Linked DNA regions of Oryctolagus cuniculus. The main gene of each other region encodes a partner of the protein of the gene in region 2 in a complex. Links are inferred from orthologs where the notes say so. Each region holds a gene or a part of one and is shown on either strand. Other genes may lie near its edges. The genes, in order: SUMO3 and SENP2.

Region 1 (4,283 bases), about 94 Mb from region 2:
CCGCAACGGCCGAAGCTGCACCGATCCGAAGCCAGGGTCCTGGAGCTTCTTCCGGCCTCCCACATGGCCGCAGGGCCCCAAGGACTTGGGCCTGCTGCTGCTGTCCCAGGCCACAGCAGGGAGCTGGATCGGAAGAGCGGCCGCTGGAAACTGAAGGCGCCCACAGATGCCGGCGCTGCAGGCGGAGGCTCAGCCCCAGCCCCAGCCCCAGCCCCAGCCCCAGTAACCTTTGCTCTTAATGGTGGCCCTGCCCAGACGTTTGAGGGTGGAAGGGGGCTTGGGAGATGCCCTGCGGCTCCGCAGCGTTACCAGGAGGTGAGTGGCACCTGTCTGCTGGCCTGCTCAGGCAGGATGGAAACGGTTCCGAGCCTTGGGCTGCGGCTCATCCTGGTGCCGCCCACCGGCCCCTCCATCCGAGGTGATTAAGGTCGGGGGTGGGCGTGCCTTCCGCGGTTCCGTGGGCCCCCATCTTGCATGGGCCACGCGGCCAGGTGCTCGAGCTCCCACCCGTGGTGACACCCGGCCTGTGGTTTCACCTCCCACCGCCTCGGTTTTCTCATACGTGAATGGGTTGTTGCGAGGACTAGGTGTGGACAGCATTCTAGAAGTCAGCCAAACCACCGGGAGGGGGCTCCCCATGGTGGAGAGTGGACGCCCCAGAGGAGGCGCCGGCCAGGGAAGTGGCCGGGAGGAGAGGACCTGGTGACCCCAGCCCTGTCTGCAGAAGCCTGCGTGATGTGGACAGAGGACACAGGTCCCCTCCAGTCGGGGAAGGGCCTCTCCCGAGCCCCCCCCACCGCCTTTCCTTTACCCCCTAGAGAAATGCAGCCCCGCAGAAGTGGGGGGTGCGTGGCCTGGCCTCGGCCTGCACAGCTCAGAGGCCTGGGGCCGCGCGCGGGCGGGGGGTTCCCAAGGGGACTTGCAGGTGGCTCCAGGGCCCCGAGGCCCGAACTGGACCCTGACCCTGCCCACGTCAGCGCAGCCACTCCGGAGCCCAGGCCTGGCCCTCACGTCCCCGCCCCCAAGCCCGATCCCGGGCCCTGGGCTCCCCCAGCCGTGCACTCCCTGCGCGTCCCCGGGGCCGGGCACCCGCGACAGCCTGCGGCCCCGGGTCCCACGCGCGCCCCCGGGCGCCCAGACTGCGGGGTCGCGCGGGGACCCGCCCCGTGACGCACTTCCAACCGCCGGGAACCGCGGCCCGCCCGGGCGCGCGCCCGACGCCCCAGGGCGCGCGCCTCGTGCACGCGCGCCCGCCACGTGACCTCCCCCGGCCAACCGGCGCGCCGGGATTTGAGGGATAAAGCGCGGCCCCGAGGGCAGTTGCGGCGGGAGAGCGGCGGCCCGGAGAGCGACTGCCCCGCTCGCGCTGCTGCTGCCGCCGCCGCCGCGACCGCGACCGCGCGCAGCCATGTCCGAGGAGAAGCCCAAGGTAAGCCGCGGCCCGCCCGCCGCCCGCCGCCCCGGGGCACCCGCGCCTCCGCTCCTGGCAGGCCCCGTCCCCACCCGCCGTGGCCACGGCGCCCACGAGCCCCGCGCCCGGGCCCACGCCGCACGCCCGCCCCTCCCCCACGGGCCTCCGCGCCCCTCCCCCACCGCGGGCTCCGCGGCGCGCCCCGCCCCGTCCTCGCCCCGCCCCGACAGCGTCTGTCCCGGAGCCCCGCCCCTGCTCTGCACCCGTCGGAGCTCCTCCCCGAGCCCGCCCCCTTCCGCTTCTCGAGCCCCGCCCCTTGCCGGTTTCGAGCCCCTCTAGTCCTAGCCCCGTCCCGTCCTAGCCCCGCCCCCAATAGGTCTCTCCCGGAGACCCGCCCCCTTTCTGGTCTCGGGCCTCTTACGTCATAGCCCCGCCCCGAGAAGCCCCGCCCTGACAGCGTCTCTCCCGAGCCCCGCTCCAAGCCCCGCCTCCTGGCCCCGCCCCCGCTGTGCGCCCCCTGGCGCGCGTCCTCGAGGGCGTGTTCGCGTGGCCCCGTCCTCCGTCCAGGTTTTCCCGCGCGGTGGCCCCTCTCCTGAGAGAGTGGGAGTAGCCGGGGTCGGTAGCCCGCTGCGACCCCGGATGTGCTGCCGTCTCCCAGCGCGGCCCCGGGGTGCGGCCCTTCCCCGTCACAGCCCCAGGGTGCTCCCCCTCCCCGTCATAGCCCCAGGGTGCTCCCCCTCCCCGTCATGGCCCCGGGGTGCGCCCCCTCTCCCTCTAGGTCCCAGGGTGTGCCCACCTCCCTGTCACAGTCCCAGGGTGCTCCCACTCCCCGTCACAGCCCCAGGGTGCTCCCCCTCTCCCTCTAGGTCCCAGGGTGCGCCCACCTCCCTGTCACAGTCCCAGGGTGCTCCCACTCCCCGTCGCCGCCCTGGGGTGCGCCCCCTCCCTGTCACAGCCCCAGGGTGCTCCCCGTCCCCGTCACAGCCCCAGGGTGCTCCCCCTCCCCGTCACGGTCCCGGGGTGCTCCCCCTCTCCCTCTAGGTCCCAGGGTGCACCCCTCCCCGTCACAGCCCCAGGGTGCTCCCCCTCTCCCTCTAGGTCCCAGGGTGCTCCCATCGTCCCGGCCTGGGGTGGGCCCCTTCCTGTCCCGCCCCGAGGGCTGCCCTGGGTCAGGCCGGCAGTCCTTGGGTAGGTGGAGGCGGAAGCTCCGGTCTCTGAGCACGTGCTGGGGACCTGGGGCTCCGTGCTGGGGACCTGGGGCTCCTGCTGCAGCTGGGGTCAGAGGTGAGCAGCCCCCTTCACAGGTGAGGGAGGAGGCTGGAGCCCAGCCCCTGGCCGGGCCCTGCTTGGGTGAGGGAGGAAAGCCGGCATCTGGCCACAGCCTCTAACGTGTGCCCAGGGCAGGGCCCCCCGGCCCAGGTCCTCGCCCATGGCATAAACTTGCCGGTGGACGCCAGCTCTGCTCTGGCCGTGGGGCGTGGGCGTGCGGGGAGGCAGCCTTGTGGTCAGATGGGAAAACCATTTCTGCCCCCCAGAATACTGACCACAATGAATTGGGGCAATTGGTTTTAGGACTTCTTTTCCTCTTTTAAAAAAAGATTTTTTTCTCTCTGTCTCTCACTGTCCACTCTGCCTGTCAAAAAAAAAAAAAAAAAGATTTTAAAGTGTGTTTACTTGAGAGTCAGAGACACAGAGAGAGGGTCTCCCGTCGGCCCTGTGCGTATCCCAGATGCCTGCAACGGCGGGGCTGGGGCCGGGAGCTGGCAGCCCCACGCACGTGTCCGCACCTGCCCGGGCCGCATGGCCCTCCTGGCCGCTGCCGCGTGGACCGCAGCTTCCCTCCCTCCTGTCAACACTGCCTTCTGCTTCTCTGAAGTCACGCACAGCTGCGTGCAGTGTGTGGTTCTGTTAGTTTTGTAAAAGTGACTTTCAAACGAAGATGGGTTTTCCGACTTCTCCTGGGCCCTGCAGGCTCGGGCGTGCTGCTCCCCCGGGACGCCCAGCGGCTGGGGGTGAAAGTCCGTTCTGTGCCAAAACAAAGCAGCCGCCTGCTGGAGGGGCCTGGACGGAGGCGCCGGTTAGGTGGTGGCCATGACGTCAGTGAAGCCCGGCGCCCCTCAGCTCCTGGAGAGCGCCGGATCCTTAGAGGTGTTTCCTGTCCCTGCAGGAGGGCGTGAAGACCGAGAATGACCACATCAACCTGAAGGTGGCCGGGCAGGACGGCTCCGTGGTGCAGTTCAAGATCAAGAGGCACACCCCACTGAGCAAGCTGATGAAGGCCTACTGCGAGCGGCAGGTGCGGCGCCCCCCGGCTGCCTTGCCCAGGGGCCTTGCCCAGGGGTCTCGTCCCGGTGGCCCTGTAAACGGACAGGTGGCGCTCACCGTGGCGGGCCCTTCTGCTGAGACGCCCTCTGGGGCAGGTGCGGCGCCCCCCGGCTGCCTTGCCCAGGGGTCTCGTCCCGGTGCCCCTGTAAACGGACAGGTGGCGCTCACCGCGGGCGGGCCCTTCTGCTGAGACGCCCTCTGGGGCCGGTGCCTTCCGATGCACTGCCGGGCAGGTCCCGCGTCGCTCCTCGCCTTACTTCTGCCCGTCAGCAGTGTGCTTTGCCAGCTCGTTTAGCAACGGCGAGAAAATGATGGATCTCCCCCAGTTTCCCAAACAGCGAGCCGCCTCAGCAGCACCCCCCTGTGGTCAGTCAGAACGGCCGTTTCTGGTGGCTAGCGTTCGTCTCACCAGCTCATGGGTCGTACACGTCTGTGCTTCGACGGTCGTGGCGTTCCAGTCCGTGCCCAGCGTGCTCGTCCTGGGGAGATGGGCATCGGTCCAGTCCGTTGCAGAATTCCTGCCACTGCATGGCCTTGCTGACTCACG
Region 2 (3,803 bases):
CACAGAGAGTAGCTGGGACTCAAACCAGGCACTCTGATATAGGATGGAGGTATCCCTAAGTGGTGGATTACTCTGCTGCACTAAAATACCCACCACTGTAGCAGAATTTTATATTCTTAGAAGACATACTTAACTACTGAAAGTGATTAATTTTACAGTTTTCCTGCTAAGCTGCAAAATAAGTTAAACTGGTATTAGACCAACCAGGTCCTATACTCTCAAATAAGGTAACATTGCTCCCAAGGGAGTGAAAACTGGTACTTAGCGGTAATAATCTTTAGATATTTCGATGGTTTGTAGCCCTCTAAAGCTCAACCAATTATGACTTATTGCTTAGTATTATTGTCTCTCGTTATGGAGAAATTAAATTACAAAAGTCTCAGGGGGAAGGGGACAATAAAAAAAAAGCAGAGAAAACTGGACTAGGAGCATAGTAAACCTTAGATACATGGGAACTGAACCTTCCAAAAGAAAGGTAGGCAAGCAGGGAGGGAATATGAATGTAACAGAAGTATGTATTGTTATAAGCACCACCCAATACTCTTGTGTGTGATTCCAGTAAGAAATTTCTATGCATGTGGTAATATAAATGTATGTATGCGCATACAGGTATGTATATGTGTACATTTTATAAACATCTTACACAGAAAATACCAGAAAGATCAAATAATTTGGTGTATCATAACCAGTTTCTAATTGCTGGATCAGAAGTGGAACAGCCAGGACTCAATCTGGTGTCCACATGGAATGCCAGCATACAGGCAGCAGCTTAATTTGCTGTGCCACAGTGCTGACCCCATGAAGTATTTATTTATTTCTGGAATGTTCCTTTTGATATTTTTGGACTGTGGGTAACTGAAACTACAACTACTGTAGTAATTGCTAGAAACCAGCCTCAGTTTGTTTGTTTGTTTATCAAGATAGATAAAAATAAAAAGGGTCTTTTATGTTAAAACATTAAAAATTTTTGAATTTTTAGTAATCATATCTTCTTTCACAAGATTAACTTAACAAATTCATTTATCCTCAGAAAAGTTAAAAGCAGAAAACTGCAGTTGCTTCCAGAAAGTAAAAGAGATTCAAAATGGATTCATCTTACTGACAGCATTCTCACTATGAAGCTCATGTTACTGGGCTGGCACTGTGGAGCAGTGGGTTAACGTCCTGGCCTGAGGTGCCGGCATCCCATATGGGCACCTGTTCTAGTCCCAGCTGCTCCTCTTCCAATCCAGCTCTCGCTATGGCCTAGGATAGCAGCAGAAGACGGCCCAAGTTCTTGGGCCCCTCCACCCACGGTGAGAGACCTGGAGGAGGCTCCTGGCTCCTGGCTTAAGATCACCGCCATTCCAGCCGTTGCACCTATCTGGGGAGTGAACCAGCAGATGGAAGACCTCTCTATCTGTCTCTACCTCTCTCTTTAACTCTTTCAAATAAATAAAATAAATCTTTAAAAAAAATTCACATTACCACTTAAAAGAAATAAGAGGCTAGACTTTAAAGGCTGGTTTCTAGCAATTACTACAGTATTTGTAGTTTCAGTTACCCACAGTCCAAAAATATAAAGGGAAATTCCAGAAATAAATAAGTAATTCATGGGGCCAGCACTTGGCACAGCAAGTTAAGCTGTAGTCTGTATGCTGGCATCCCATATGGATACCAGCTGGAGTCCTGGTTACTCCACTTCTGATCCAGCTCCCTGCTAATTAGCAAGGGAAAGCAGGAAAAAATGGTCCAAGTAATTGGGCCCCTGCCACCCATATGAGAGACTGGGATGAAACTCCTCTGGCTCCTGGCTTCAGCATGGCCAACCTCCAGCCATCATAGCCATTTGGAAAGTAAAAATGGAAGAGATCTTCCCCTCCACACAACTTTAACTCTTACAAATAATTAAATAAACCTTATAAAAATAATACATGCTTCATAACATCTAAACTGCACATTGTTCTGTGTAACATGATGAAATCTCACACTGTCCACTTGGTCTGGCCTGGGACATAAATCAACCCTTTGTCCTTGCTTATCCATGCTGTATATACCACCCGCCCAGTCACTGAGTAGCCATCTTTGTTATCAAATCAACTGTCATGCTTTCATATTGTGTTCAAATTAATCTAATTTTACCTAAATGGCCCCAAAGCACAAAAGTAGTGATGCAAATGAGACAAGGAAAGACAGGTTAACTTGGGCACCATACAGCATCACTGCAGGGCAAGAGGGAAAACAGATATGTTTGGGAACAGTCTGTGGTTTCAGCTACCCACTAGCGATCTTGGAACTCATCCCCAGAAGTAAGGGGATGACTATTAACTTAAAAGTTTCCCCTGTATTCCATGAGATGAAGCCAACTCTCATGAAAGCACAAAGACATGGAGTAGGCTCCAAAATTTAGAGGACTAATACTCCCTATAACAGTTCTTTAGGACATTCAGAATAATGTAACAAATCCAAAGAGATCTCATTCAAATCACAGGATAAGGATTCGAACAAGGTATAGTTTACATAATAACACATGACAAACTTGTTTTCAATTGAATATGCTACCAAGTAAGATGTTCTCAAAGATCAGATATCATATTTAAACCAAAAAAGATGGATTCAATTAAGTTCTGACCTAACAGATAGAGAATCTTAACTGTACATTAAGACTACCATCCAGAGCTTCCTAGGATTAAACAGAAAAACAATGGTGATTGTTAAACACCATTAAACCCTAACAAGGGTTTAATGAGACAGTAGTGAAGTTTTTCAATCTTTACTTACAGAAGAATCTCACAGATCCTGTGGCCCTTTTGCCCCATAGAATCCAGATATTTAAGACACTTTTTTCTTAGGTCCATCACCTATAATGGAAAATTGCATTATCCAAAAACATCTTATATATAGCAGAAGAACTTTATTTCCAAAATTAAAACCATCTTTGAAAAAATCAAACATGAATGAATTTCTAGGACATATTCTTTAATTTAAAAAAAGTTACAAAACATTGTAAGTTAACATATATATATTTCTATTCCTAGAGAAAGGGCTAGAAACTAATTCACCAAAGTATCAGTGGCCCTCTCAATGATGAATTTTGTTTGTTCTCTTCTTTATACTTTCATTCTTTTATAATAAATCTGTTTAACATCTTATAAACAAAACTGAATGAAAGCTCCAGGTATAGGGACTGTGTCTCCTAGCTTTCCAAGCTGTTCAGAAGGTACTCTACGCAGCATGCCTTTAACATATCCTTACTGGTCTTATCACTGGACAGAAAAGAGTAGCCTTAATTATTTAAGAAAACAGTCTGTATCCAAACCCCAACAACTAATCCTCTCAACTTACCACCAGGCTCCAGTGTACCTTTCGATGAATAGGCACCAGAATAAGTTCCTGTTCAAAGAGATTTACCCCTTTGGTCCATCTTTTCACTGCTTGGTAACCCCCAGACTTTAATTTAGGATAGAAGAAAGTACTGAATGCATGAAGTACTGGATAGCCTTGCTTTTTATTTCTTTCAACCAGAAGATTCATATAAAAATTAATGACCTGTAAAATAGCAAGAGAGTCTAAGTTGGAATATGGGCAGCATATTACTGAAAACTAAATTTCTACCCAAGTAAGGATGAATTACAAAGTGCGAAGTTAATATATGGAGAAGGGAAGGTATGAGAGAAGGGGATGAAAGGAATGAAAGCACTGTCTCTGCAGAAGATTAAAAAAAAAATTGGGAGACAGGAGAGATTAAGGATGCATAAAAGTGTTCTTTTGAGGCATGAGTAGCAAAGACAAACAAGAGAAAGAACTGTGGAATAATGAAAAAC

What was found.
Region 1: the proteins of SENP2 (region 2) and SUMO3 are in contact, whole or in part, in a crystal structure (PDB 2IO1), measured with the Homo sapiens proteins. The link is inferred for Oryctolagus cuniculus from reciprocal best matches to the Homo sapiens genes SENP2 and SUMO3. Residues at the interface, in NP_067640.2 of Homo sapiens: Gln385, Asp386, Phe393, Lys394, Leu395, Arg396, Trp410, Leu411, Asn412, Asp413, Glu414, Ser439, Thr440, Phe441, Pro444, Lys445, Arg456, Trp457, Lys459, His474, Lys476, Val477, His478, Trp479, Met497, Gln499, Gln542, Asn544, Gly545, Ser546; in NP_008867.2 of Homo sapiens: Arg55, Arg58, Arg60, Phe61, Asp62, Gly63, Pro65, Asn67, Asp70, Leu75, Asp81, Asp84, Phe86, Gln87, Gln88, Gln89, Thr90, Gly91, Gly92, Val93, Pro94, Glu95.

What each region holds. Positions count from the first base shown.
Region 1 is NC_091435.1:1,757,339-1,761,621, forward strand, and holds the start of SUMO3 (small ubiquitin-related modifier 3), read left to right. Parts: upstream 1-1,246; 5' UTR 1,247-1,408; coding exon 1,409-1,429; intron 1,430-3,578; coding exon 3,579-3,707; intron 3,708-4,283. UniProt on the Homo sapiens protein: Ubiquitin-like protein which can be covalently attached to target lysines either as a monomer or as a lysine-linked polymer. Does not seem to be involved in protein degradation and may function as an antagonist of ubiquitin in the degradation process.
Region 2 is NC_091435.1:95,281,678-95,285,480, reverse strand, and holds part of SENP2 (sentrin-specific protease 2), read right to left. Parts: intron 3,529-3,803; coding exon 3,325-3,528; intron 2,841-3,324; coding exon 2,761-2,840; intron 1-2,760. UniProt on the Homo sapiens protein: Protease that catalyzes two essential functions in the SUMO pathway.